Bombyx mori: one gene and its partners. The protein of the gene in region 1 purifies or fractionates together with the protein of each later gene. This does not show direct contact. Links are inferred from orthologs where the notes say so. Each region holds a gene or a part of one and is shown in the gene's direction. Other genes may lie near its edges.

Region 1 (5,610 bases):
TAGATAGATCGTAAACGTAAAAATCTATATTTTCATTGATTCAACACTGATTCACATCAAATTTTTACTATTCTGCAACACTACTTTGACATTGACTATTTGACGTTATTGGAACTTTTTTAATCACGTTAGATTGAATTCTGGTCTTTTAAGCCAAAAACCCATTGAAATAGTGTTTCGCCCATTTAATTATTCGAATCCATTTAACATTTATTTTAACAATATGTACATTTTGTCTTTAAAATGGTTTGGTGTTATAGCTCTACTCTCAGCATAAGCACTTCAACACACAATGTTGAAGTTCTCGTTTTCTATTCCCAAAATAGTTTTATAAAAAAACCGACTCTACTTTCAATTATTTGATGGTTTTTAGTTAGGCCAAAGATCGTTCATACCATCTTTAATTAAACAAACTTATCTAAATGTTTTTATTGCTAATATATAGTTTTATGGAAGCTTTTCACATATTTTTTCTTCTCTTCACATTTTATCAATAGCGAATTCCTCCAAATACGTTGAGAACTTTCAGCTTAGGTGTGTCGTTTTAGTCGCTACAAGCCCTTCTCTATTAGTTAAACATATTTGAAAGTGTAAAAGATTGTGGAAATATAACAAAATCACTGGACCTGACTTCTCAGGACTTTATGTTTATATAAATTAAAGAAAATAATTACCATTTTCTGTAGTTTTTTTTTCAACTGGGCTTCAATAATAATAAGATGAAATACATACTATTATTAATTTTTTACTACATTTTTTTAAAGGGATTTTATGACCTGGACTAACTAAAACTTTTAGGTCAAGTCTTATTTTAATTTTATGTTACGTAACTTTTTTATATGAAAATTATAGAAATGAAATGAAGTTGAATAATATGAAACATGGCATGAAGTGAAATGAAAACGAAATGAAATGAAATGAGATGAGATGATATGGGATGAAGTATAATCTCAGTAAAATGGTGATCATTTACTGAGACTTTTTCAGTGGACTTTTTGGAAGATCTCGAGAACTTACGTTCAGTGGCTTTGTTTCGTTTTCCCACATTTGTGCACTTTCACAGTTACAGTTAAGCAGTTAATAAGCCACCGTTATTACACATTTAAACCTGAAGAAAGACTAATTAGACAAAATAAAACAAACCACTCCTCGCGTTCCCGCCGAAAAGTCCTAGAAAGAACTAATTATAATAAATTTTAAACTACCTGTGTTTTATCTATGGTGGTGTATTATCTATGAGTAGCTGATGGCCGTGTTGCAAATTCAATGCTTTCATAAATAAAAAATAAAAAAATATCTATGAGTAGAAATTAGCGTCGAACTCGAAGCGAAGCCGATACATTTTGAGGTTATATTTTGTATTTCTTGTTAGCCGATATTAAAGTAAGTACTGATGTTTCTTAAATAAGCAATGAAAACAATAAAGGTGGTTTGAAAATGAATTAACATCCAATTTACTTTTTAGAACCTGCAAAAATGGCGGCTGCTATGCCAATAAATCCCAAACCATTTCTTAATAGTCTAACGGGTAAATCCGTGCTAGTTAAATTAAAATGGGGTCATGAATACAAAGGTTTGTTAGTATCAACAGATGGCTACATGAATTTGCAACTTGCTAATACTGAAGAACTTGTCGATGGAACTTGTACAGGTTAGTATTTAAGTGAACAACTTTAAGTAATCACGAAAACATATTAAAGCAAGAGATTAAGATCTACTGGTAGTGGACCTGGACCAAAATTGAATTAAAAATGAGACGTTCATTGTTTGTTTGGTCTATTATGAGTACACTATTCTGCACCCATTTCGACTTCAAAGCTTTCAAGCATTCTGCTTTGAAGAGTAGATTTAATATTCATATTGTAATAAACTTATAAATTCTAGAAGCCACTTAACACTAAATGTCATGGGGTTCATTTGCCCTTTTAAAGAAAAAAAAAGTACTTGCTACAAAGAATGCACAAAATCAATAAATTTCATAACAAGAGACAACTTGACACTTACAAGATTCCAAACCAAACTTTTTGGTTGTGAATAGTTTTGTGAATTTAATTAATTTAAATTAGTAAATAAAATTTAGAAATCAAATCTTAACATTTAAATATTTTTTTTTATATTTTTTTTTAAGAATCTTTTTTATTGTAATTCAGTCCATGCTACATCAAACTTAATGAAGTCATATCAGCAGAGTTCTGTAAAGCTTTAACGGCGTTTGTTTTGAATACTAGTTCAGTTAGTTCTGTTAGTCCATACATACAAAACACTAAATTAAGAACCCTATTAATTTAAGTATTGGGTTTTATTTCCAGGTAATTTAGGTGAAGTTTTAATAAGATGCAATAATGTCTTGTATGTAAGAGGAGCTGATGAAGAAGATGAAGAAGGAGAAATGAAAGAATAATTAGTAATTATTACATAAGTTAGAATAAGGAATTATCTTAAGAATAACAGGCAAAAGGGAAATTTTAAGCAAAAAAATAGAAATTTCATATTACTCTGTTAGCAGTAAAATTACCTTAGGTATATATCCCGAAATACTAATGATTGAGGAGAAAAATGTTAATTGGAACTATTGTTGTATACAATGTTTAAATGAAACAACTTTAATACTTTTTTTTTTTTAATAACTATGTCTGAAACAACCTCTTCAGCATGAATTCCATAACTTGTATAATTAATTATAAGTAAATTTTCACCATAACCTTGTTTTATTTTCTCAACACTAACTTTACAAGAAAAGGTTTGCGATTTATATTGTCCTTGCAAAAAATGAGCATGTGAAAACAGGGAAATATATTGAAATCTAATGATCTTCAATGTATTTTACCCCATTCCTTCTTGCTCTTTTTTGGCCTTTGGGTATTAGATTCCAAATTCGTTTAAAAACACAACCTCATTCGCAAAAACAATTTTCATTTAAAAAAACTTTGGTTCTCATTCTGGTTATGATTTGAAACTAAAAAGTAAATAATACAACCTTATTTTAATATAGTTAAAGCTCTAGAAGTGACTAAAAAGAGATGCATATTATTTTATAGTATCTAGTCTGTGAGAGAACGAGATAGAAAACTCCTACAGGTTACACTTCTACATTTTGCGAATTGCTGCACACTTTGTATTGCTCTGGATGAAGAAAAAAGCTGACTGCCTACTTGGTATTAAGTAGTTGCCATAGCCCACTACATAAATCATCACTCATCTTAAGCCTTGATGCATGAGGTACAGAATGCAGGATAGTGATATTATCTCATTTATGCTTATCCTGCATTCCACTTAGAATTACGAACTTATAAACATTGCCCATTCGAATTTGAACGCCTACAGGATAAGCTATTGATTGTGGAAGTCGGTGAACAAGCATTAGAACATATTTAGAGCAGACCTAAAGACAGGTCACAAACTAATGTCCTACATTAGTCTATCGTGCACGGATGACTGAAATTCTTATAGTCCATTTCGCGAGACAATAGTACTCTTAATGTCAGGGCAATACCAAAAAAAAAATTTTGGTTAACTGTAAAGTCGGTTTACGGACGATAGTTTTACACGTTAAAGTCAGTAGGAGAACTATTCGAACTGCTAGTTCTGACGTCACGCGACATAAATGTGTCACAAGCCAACACTTGGGTCGACTCTGGTCACCGTCCTCGTCGAACCCGTCGCTTGCGACGAAGGGCTCGACGAGCGAATTAACCCATAGACACAGCCCACTGAGTTTCTCGCCGGATCTTCTCAGTGGGTCGCGTTTCCGATCCGGTGGTAGATTCTGCGAAGCACTGCTCTTGCTAGGGTCAGTGTTAGCAACTCTCCGGTTGAGCCCCGTGAGCTCACCTACAAACCTTAGGGTGAAGCTGAAATAGCCTCTCATGGCTATCAGCATAGGTAGGGAAAAAAAAGGGCCGATCGTGCCTCTATCGCATGTTCCGTGCTCTCGCTTGCACGCTCAGGCGGAACGTGACATTTTTTCGTGCGTGTAGCCAATACTTATCGATTAATCACGTCAAAATGCTATCCCTCTGTCTTGTATAAGTATTTGTTAAAATGTGAGTGGGTAACATAATAAAACCACTGTAATGAATAAAATGGTTTTATCAGATTTTTCAAAAAATCCGCCTAAGACTCGGCACAAGATGATACGATTTCGCTGAAGACAGATACGATTTGAAATCTTCACGACTTTTGAGAGGATAAAAACAGCGTCGAAGACACCTTCTTCGACAGTAAAGCGAGAATGCATCAGCCCACTGAGTTTCTCGCCGACACTTCTCAGCGGATCGCTATCACAATGTCGTTATCGATTCATTAGCGAAACAGCTGCTCTTGATGTGTTAGGTTTGCTATGAAGAAGTTCAGGCAGTTGTTAATACATTCTAGATTTATGAGAAACACCCATTTATTAAAAGAAATCGAGCGCCACCTCTCGTTATTTTGTGGTACTATGAACCTTCCCTGAAATACCAACAACCACTGTTTACATCTTTCAACTGTTGTGTATAACTTTTATATAGTATCTTGTAATGTGAAAATACTACTTACTGAACATTCAATCAATTTACATTTCCGGAAAGGGATTAGGTAAATCCAAAATAATAATCACAAATCGAAGGTTTGAAATAAGTAAATTTATTGTACATAAAGGACATAAAAAAAAACATAATCATTTAAAATCTGTAGCAAACACGATCAAATTATGATTTCAATATTTATCAAAATATTCTTTATAAACGGATAAATTCACCTCAACTTAAAACTAACAAAAAAACGCCGTCCACGTGAACATTATTTTTAAAACTGACGTTTTGTGTCAGAACAATCGGTAATACACAGAGTAACATAACATTCTCACTTTGAGCATCGACTAATCTAAATATTGCTTACAATTTCGTAATGTAATTATTGAATTTCAATAGTAATACGCTGTTATCGCAACAAATCTTCTGTCGAGGTAATTCTGTTCCACTTCCAATGAGCCGCTCATGTTTCTTGCTAACGAGATTATCTGAGAACAAAATAAAAACCTTAAATGTTTTAGGTATATTCAGTAACGCGCGAACAGTTTATTTACGACTTAATCATTTTGATAACGACATTAATGCGTTTAAGTTTATTGTACGCAAATAATGATAATTTTAAACAATGACGAACTAACGTAGGAGAAAAAATATCCGAATTTGATTTTTAGTTTATTTTTTTACTGCTTAGATGGGTGGACGAGCTCACAGCCCACCTGGTGTTAAGTGGTTACTGGAGCCCATAGACATCTACAACGTAAATGCGCCACCCACCTTGAGATATAAGTTCTAAGGGCTCAGTATAGTTACAACGGCTGCCCCACCCTTCAAACCGAAACGCATTACTGCTTCACGACAGAAATAGGCAGAGTGGTGATACCTACTCGTGCGGACTCACAAGACGTCCTATCACCAGTAATTATGCAAATTATAATTTTGCGGGTTTGATTTTTATTACACGATGTCATTCCTTCACCGTGGAAGTTAATCGTGAACATTTGTTAAGTACGTATTTCATTAGAAAAATTGGTACCCGCCTGCGGGATTCGAACACCGGTGCTTCGCTCAACAGGAATGCACCGGACGTCTTATCCTTTAG
Region 2 (4,036 bases), on another chromosome or scaffold:
ATTTACACTTTAATAGGAAGTATGTATTATATATATATTGTTATTTGCAAAGATGACGTGATTTAGATGTGTGAAATCTAAGACAATTTCGTGCTTCAATTTGCCAAGTAAACAATATGACGATTTTTAAAAGTTGCTACACTGATTTTATAAACTTGTCGTTTGACAACTCAGTGACGGCAAATCATAAACATATGGCGTAGTACAGTGCCATCTGCCAATTTCTAGCATGCTAAATGTTATCATCGTTTCGTATGTTGCCATCTCGCTCGCACTTGCGTATATGCCGGAAAGGTATAAAAGCTTTATGTCGGCGATAAAACGTTAGCATGCTAGCTATGCTGTTTTGTGTAACCTGTTACCTCTCAATTACAACCTATTTTAATTGTGTTGCTGACTCTAAAGTCCGTAACACAGTACCGCAACATACCTCAAGGTAGGTGCGCTGCACCATTTGAATCACTCTCACTTGAGAGTGATTCAAATTTAAAACGACCCTCCTTGTGACTTCCTCTCTAAAAACACTTATTTATTACAAATTTACCGAATTTACAATAGTTGTTTACTCGCTACGGAATAAAACAATTTTACTTAAATAGTTCCGAAGAGAGATTTTGTCAGTAACCTTTTTCCCGAAATATCTAAACAGAATGTCTAAATATGTTTTGATGACACATTTTATTAAGAGGTATTTATGATTTGTGTCATGAACAATAGATTCCGACCGAAAAATGGTGTCAGAGTTTTCGGAGTAGTGCTCCATAATGAATTTAAATATATATAGATAATACTTTTGGGGCATCGACTTTCTTGGGATCCTATAAAATATTTTTTAATTATTATTTTTGTATGTTTTAAGCGGGGTAGCATGATAAAATAAGAAATTTTATATAAGCAATCATATTAAATCGATATCAAAGTTAATAAATAATGTACAACCCAAGACAGACGGCTGAGCTGACTTACAGTGACATTTGGTGCGCTAAGCATGTCGGATTTTCGGCCTCATTAGATTTTTACGTATATTCATATTTCATTCTATGTACGCACTGAAATACTGTTATATTGTTTTACTGCGAGTTACAGTGCTGAGTAAGAACGAGATAGATATAATATGTTTAGGTGTGTGCCATCAAAATGGGTGCTACTTATTTAAGCAATTGTGCGTATAGAGGAAAACAATATGTCGCGTCTCTATTATATAGGTCTATGGGTTTTTTACTTCAGTGGTTTTTAGGGCCATTTGACAGTTCATAAATTATGTTAATGTCAAAATTGACAAAAATGTGACATTGAAGTTGTTCACATACTGCTACATTTTGTACATGAAAAATACACCGAATTTAATTTTATTGTATTTGCTGTATAATACCTATAAAGAAATTAACAAAATAAAAACCGGTGGTTCCATAAACCAAAAATGGCCCGAGACAGAAGTCCTGAACGGCGGAGGTCAAGATCACGAGATAGAAGAGATCGGGATCGTTACGATGAACGCGAATCGTATCGTGAAAAAGTAAAGCGCAGGGACAGGTCTAAAAGCCCTAAAAAAGATGCGGATAAAGCTCGAAGCCCTTCTAGAAAAGATCGCGATCGTTCTAGGAGTCCACTACGTAAAGAACGCGGTCGTTCGCGCAGCCCTAAGAAACGTGACGGCAAAGACAAAGATCGACGTTACGAAGACAAGGAAAAGAGTAGATCAAAAAAAGAAGATGAAATGGAGGAAGACACTGCAGACATGAAGAAAGAGGATGAATCCATAGATAAAAAACCAATTAAAAAAGAGCCTTTGTCCTTAGAAGAACTACTTGCTAAGAAAAAGGCTGAGGAAGAAGCCCGCAGTAAGCCAGTATTTCTTACCAAAGAGCAACGAGCACAGATAGCTTTGGAGAAACGGCGTCAAGAAGTAGAAGCTATAAGAGCTAATACTGATAAGCCTCAAGTCACTATTGATTTAACAGGTCCGTCAAGACGGGAAGAAGATAAAAGGCACAGAGAAGAACGTGAAAAAGATAGAGAAAAGGAACGTCGAGAGGAACGGGAAAGGAAATATGAAGAGAGGAAAGCCTATTCAGATCGTCGAGAACCAAAAAAAGATAATGAAGAGACATCTAAAACAAAAGATAAAGAAAGAGAAGAAGAGGCTATTAAAGCTCGTTACTTAGGTATAGTAAAGAAAAAGCGTAGAGTAAGACGGCTGAATGACAGGAAATTTGTTTTTGACTGGGATGCGTCAGAAGATACATCAAATGATTATAATGTTTTGTACAAAGAAAGACATCAAGTACAATTCTTTGGTCGTGGACACATTGCTGGTATAGATATCAAGTCTCAAAAGAAAGACCATAGCAAATTCTATGGGAATCTTTTAGAAAAGCGCAGAACTGAGTTAGAGAAAGAACAAGAAAAACTACGCTTGAAGAAAGTGAAGAAGAAGGAAGACAAGCAAAAGTGGGATGATAGACACTGGTCTGAGAAAGATGTGGATGAGATGACAGAGCGTGATTGGAGGATATTCAGGGAAGACTACAATATTACCTTAAAAGGAGGTAAAATTCCTAACCCTATACGTTCTTGGAAGGAAGCTCCCTTGCATACTGACATTATGGACATAATCAACAAAGTTGGATATAAGAGCCCAACTCCTATTCAAAGGCAGGCTATTCCAATTGGATTACAGAACCGTGACATTATTGGTGTTGCTGAAACTGGTTCCGGTAAAACATTGGCATTCCTTATACCATTACTTACATGGATTCAATCTCTGCCAAAGAGTGAACGTATGGAAGATGCTGACCAAGGACCTTATGCTATAATTTTAGCTCCAACACGTGAATTGGCTCAACAAATCGAAGAAGAAACTAATAAATTTGGTATTCCTCTTGGTATCACATCAGTAGTGGTTGTTGGAGGTTTATCTCGTGAAGAACAAGGTTTTAAGCTGAGGTTAGGCTGTGAGATTGTCATTGCCACTCCCGGTCGTCTTATTGATGTCTTAGACAACAGATATTTAGTACTAAACCGTTGTACCTATGTTGTTCTTGATGAAGCTGATCGGATGATTGATATGGGTTTTGAACCGGATGTTCAAAAAATCCTGGAATACATGCCTGTATCGAACATAAAACCTGATAGTGATGCAGCTGAAGATGCTTCAGTATTGCTTGCCAATTATAACACAAAAAAGAAATACCGACAAACTGTGATGTTTACGGCAACAATGCCTCCGGCTGTAGAGCGGCTGGCTAGAAGTTATCTCAGAAGACCGGCTATTGTATATATTGGATCTGTAGGAAAACCAGTAGACAGAACTGAACAAATAGTCTACATGATAGGCGAGAATGAAAAACGTAGAAAACTTACAGAGATTTTGCAGCGTGGTGTCGAACCACCCATTATTATTTTTGTTAACCAGAAAAAAGGTGCAGATGTTCTTGCAAAGGGACTTGAAAAACTTGGTTTCAATGCCTGTACGCTGCATGGTGGTAAAGGCCAAGAACAACGTGACTTTGCACTTGCCAGTCTCAAAGGGGGCGCTAAAGATATCCTCGTGGCGACAGACGTGGCAGGTCGTGGTATTGACATTAAAGATGTCAGTATGGTCATTAATTACGATATGGCGAAGACTATTGAAGACTACACTCATCGTATCGGCCGTACCGGTCGTGCAGGAAAAACTGGTAAAGCTATGTCCTTTGTTACAAAAGAAGACTCCGCATTGTTCTATGATCTGAAGCAGGTTTTGTTGGCAAGTTCCGTATCTACGTGTCCACCGGAACTTATGAACCACCCTGAGGCTCAACATAAGCCAGGGACAGTCGTAACAAAGAAGAGACGTGAAGAGATGATATTCGCTTGACAATCCTAGTTATAGTCTAAAATAATAAGCAATAGGTAAATTACCATCATGGTCACCAGCAAGTTATAAAGTCTATAGTTACTTTAGTTCTAACACATTTTAAACATCCACTTTTAGAATCAAAAGAATGTAATTTTAACTAAAATTCGTATATATTTCGAGAAATAAAAACAATAA
Region 3 (4,001 bases), on another chromosome or scaffold:
ACTCTGGCTCTTTGCGCATGTCAAAGCTATCAATCAATAGATTTATTATAGCATACTGTAATGCGCACTGCAAGCCCCGGGAATCTGTCTGGAACTTATATATATATTAATATCACCTATCTTACTATATGCCCTAACACACTACATACTTGAGAATAATCTATCTAGATTCAAAGATTGTACCTACTTTACTTTACTGTATTGTCTATTAGGCCTAAAATGTACGGAACAAACACAAGATTTAGTTTTAAACGAAGAATTCTACATTTAATCTCATATTATAGAAACCGTCTGATACTTTAAACAAGCTTCAATACCTCAAAGCACAAGAGGTCTGCAAGTTTTTCCACAGTCAAAGTGATCATTGCATACTAATCATCCACGCAATTATTCGACTCTCGACATAATACTGAAGGCTAACAAAATCGATCGCTTTGATTAGTTTTGTTTCCTTTATAAAAATTTAGACACAAAGTCAAAGTCTCTCTATTGTATAACGGTGGTCTTATCCTTTAAATCAGAAAATAGGAGTGCATAGTTGTAGAAATTGGTGGTTTAATTGGGTCAATTTGTCTCATTTACATTCACAGTTATAAATTTATTTTTTCCTAAGCTAGGGAGAAATCTCCTAAGTTGGCATCATTGCTTAAATGGCTTGCTTCTTTTTTCTAAGTACCTATAGCATTTGGTGACTTTATATAGTCTATAATTATGAATATTTACATAACAGAATGTAATGAAGCTATAATATAAAACTTATAAATTGGGACGAAATTGAAGAAAATCAAATAAAATGAAACGAGATGAGATGTGATGAAATGTCCCAGTTCAAATGATGGGAACTTAGTGAGACTTCAGTAGATTTTTTGAAAGAGACTGACAAGCCACGTCTAATAGCTTTATTTAATCTTTCCGTACTAGTTCACTTTCCCAATGACAAACGGCTTAAGAAGAAACACAGTAAAACAATTCATACCACTTTACTTCTCGCGTTACTTCTAAAAAGTCTATCTATTCTTCATTCCATTAAACTAGCGTATTTTTTACTAGCGTATTATTTAAATAAACACACATAAAATATAGGTATGTATATAATCATTATAAGTAAAAAAGGTTTCTATTCTTTTTTTTAAATTTAGGAAGATCAATCGACCATAGAGTACATGATTTCTGGTAACTTATAGGATAAGCCTTGATTTGGTTTTATGGAATAAATTTCATTGCCAGTTGGAACTCTGTAAAAACAAAATAAATCGTGACGGTTTGATACTTTGATAGATAGAGTGTCACGTTTATTATTTTATAGTTTTGTTCTACTTAAATAGTAGTAACCTACTCATTAAAGGTGAAGTTTAGTTACAATAATTTAAAGCTAAATAGAAATACATTTTCTCTAAGTTACTGTACAGTTCACACATTTTTATTATTGAATTTATTCAAAGTTTATCGAACTATTTGTCTGTGAAACAATGCCCACAAATGTTTGGATTTTTTCGTAATTTAGTTTGTTTTTTGGAAAGATTGCAACGGGAATAGCGGTATGTTTAGAAAAATCAAGTTTATTCCCATTCTTAGCGAATTGTCTCTCAAAACGCTATTGTTATCTTCTGGATAATAATATCATTAACAAAAAAAAAAAAAAGAATAGGAACGCTTCGAACGAAATGTTTTAAAAGTTTGCGAATCTCAGTGAACTTAAAGCGCACAGCGAAAGCATTTTCACCACTGATTATATGAATTCCGTTTTCAAAAACATCAGTGAACTCTTTATAGAGTTTCGTGATTTATATTATCAAAAGTACTTTTTTTCACAAAGTGTAGTTTAATCAGTCATTAAGCATATAATTAGAAAATGGGTTACAAATAAGGACATCCATATATTTGAAGTGACATCAAGAAGCAATTTTTTTTTAGCAAAATTTGTATTTCCAAGTTACAAAATTTTAAGGTTAATAATTCTGAAGACAGCAGTTTCAATGAAAATTTCTCGTCAGTGATACATTATTTAAAAATCGTTTTATTTATTTTGCAAAATTGATGTCATTTTATGTGCTTATTGAGCAATAATCATAAAACTAAATAATATAATATAATTAATTATAAAACTGTTATTGGCCCCAATAAAATCTACAGTCCAGAGAAGGACCAGTTGTCATGAGATTACATTTACTAACCGGAGAAGCGCTTAGAACCATATACTTGGAAAAATTAAACGTGGAGCTTGCTCTATTTACTGATTGTAAAATCAAAGGAGATACAATTTATTGTGAAAGTCTTTTAAACTGTTGAAAGTTTGTGTTCAGTTTATTATAGTCAAGGGCGGATCCAGCTTTGGCGCCAGGAGGGGGTCACATAGTCAAATTTAGATGCGTTCGTTCCCAAGCGTTTGCCATTATACAAAGTTATTATATTTAATTAATTAAATATTGAAGGTATGTAGTTACATAAAATCTGTATGGTGACAAAATATATAAATAAAATCATTATATTCAATTAGTTGTCCACCTAAGTCCTGGAACCAGCTCACGAGGTGGTCATGACCCCCATGACCCCCCCCCTGGATCCGCCATTGATTATAGTGTTGATTAATACTTGGGCCATCCTTGGTAGTAAGCAGATTGCTTTTTATTTGTAATACACTTTAATCAGCTTGACCAGTACTTTGTTATCTAAATTATTATCCTTACTTTTTATAGGAATAAAAGTCCAAGCGATACGGTTGTCACCAGAGTTTAATGCATGTTTTAATTTTCAAGTTAGTGAAAATTTAAATGAAAAATTCCATTACATACAAATGTACTGAGTAGGATAAAAAGTGAAAATAACAACTTTTTAAATTCACTTCCTATAAAAAAAAAATTCTAAAAATAATTTATTAATTATTTAAGTATTGCTATAAACTTTTTATATCAAAAATACAAAAGTTTATTACTACCTATTATAAACGTATGATAAAATGTATAATTACATACATACATTCAAACATTTGAGGAAAGTTACCTGCTACTATTTAACACAAGGGAGGCTCTGAGCCCAAACTTATATAATAGATAACTGATAGAAACTTATATATTATTTATACAAGTTTCTATCATTAATATATAATTTATTATGCACATATATATTATATTATCTCTTTATTATGCCCTTAGTTGTGTGGACTATATGTAGATGAGATAGTGTGCTAGGTATTAGAGTACTCCCAGCAGAGCCTTACCTTATTTTTTATGTAGTCATCCAGTTCCGGATGGGTATTTTCATCAAATATGCAAACATGCAAGCTGTTTAGGATATTTTTACAATTGTGGCTTGTGGGGCCAATAGCATTTTTATCATTTCTTGACCATTGGCAGCTCAAAGATTTCATAGATCTCCTATGTTTTGATGAACCATCAAATATATTTCTTTGTCCCAAAATATATATTTTTTTATATTAAGTACTTAAATGGGTGGACGAGCTCACAGCCCACCTGGTGTTAATTGGTTACTGGAGCCCATTAATATCTACAACGTAAATGCTGACACTCACCTTGAGATATGAGTTCTAAGGTCTCAGTATGTTATAACGGCTGCCCCACCCTTCAAACTGAAACGGATTACTGCTTCACTGCAGAAATAGGCGGGGTAGTAGTATCTACCTGTGTGGACTCACAAGAGGTCCGACCACCAGTAATTATACTTTTATACCCTTAGATATTATACATTATATATAGGGTGTGCCCCATACTTCAATACAATATGTCCAAATAGGCTTATGAATTATACTGTATATTTGTTGATTGCTAGTTTTCAGTTTCTACTGAGTAACCAGACCTTTGTACTTCAGGTTATTTAGAACTCTTTTGTTTGCACATGTTTTTTCCATGTAATTCTGTGTTCTAAGTGCATTTGTATGTACTAACAACTACTTAATCATATGTTGATGAGGAAGTTGAGTACCATTTAAATTTGTTGACTGGCAGTCCTTTTTGCAAAGGCTAAGTTTGGTGAAGGCTACTTGC

Evidence for each region. Proteins that work in one complex are often made in the same cells at the same time.
Region 2: the proteins of small nuclear ribonucleoprotein protein F (region 1) and probable ATP-dependent RNA helicase DDX23 purify together in Homo sapiens (co-immunoprecipitation; 3 studies listed by BioGRID and IntAct, counting the BioPlex papers as one, with this or other methods). This does not show direct contact. The link is inferred for Bombyx mori from reciprocal best matches to the Homo sapiens genes SNRPF and DDX23.
Region 3: the proteins of small nuclear ribonucleoprotein protein F (region 1) and serine/threonine-protein kinase PRP4 homolog purify together in Homo sapiens (co-immunoprecipitation; 3 studies listed by BioGRID and IntAct, with this or other methods). This does not show direct contact. The link is inferred for Bombyx mori from reciprocal best matches to the Homo sapiens genes SNRPF and PRP4K.

The regions. Positions count from the first base shown.
Region 1 is NC_085117.1:15,790,820-15,796,429, forward strand, and holds small nuclear ribonucleoprotein protein F, read left to right. Parts: upstream 1-1,305; 5' UTR 1,306-1,383; intron 1,384-1,465; 5' UTR 1,466-1,476; coding exon 1,477-1,651; intron 1,652-2,309; coding exon 2,310-2,401; 3' UTR 2,402-2,698; downstream 2,699-5,610. Other genes in the region: trimethylguanosine synthase, read right to left, coding at 4,904-4,999. UniProt on the Homo sapiens protein: Plays a role in pre-mRNA splicing as a core component of the spliceosomal U1, U2, U4 and U5 small nuclear ribonucleoproteins (snRNPs), the building blocks of the spliceosome.
Region 2 is NC_085121.1:15,456,180-15,460,215, forward strand, and holds the start of probable ATP-dependent RNA helicase DDX23, read left to right. Parts: upstream 1-1,236; 5' UTR 1,237-1,420; coding exon 1,421-3,859; 3' UTR 3,860-4,036. UniProt on the Homo sapiens protein: Involved in pre-mRNA splicing and its phosphorylated form (by SRPK2) is required for spliceosomal B complex formation.
Region 3 is NC_085107.1:3,226,565-3,230,565, reverse strand, and holds the start of serine/threonine-protein kinase PRP4 homolog, read left to right. Parts: upstream 1-1,201; 5' UTR 1,202-1,345; exon of another isoform or gene 1,346-1,538; intron 1,539-4,001. UniProt on the Homo sapiens protein: Serine/threonine kinase involved in spliceosomal assembly as well as mitosis and signaling regulation. Connects chromatin mediated regulation of transcription and pre-mRNA splicing.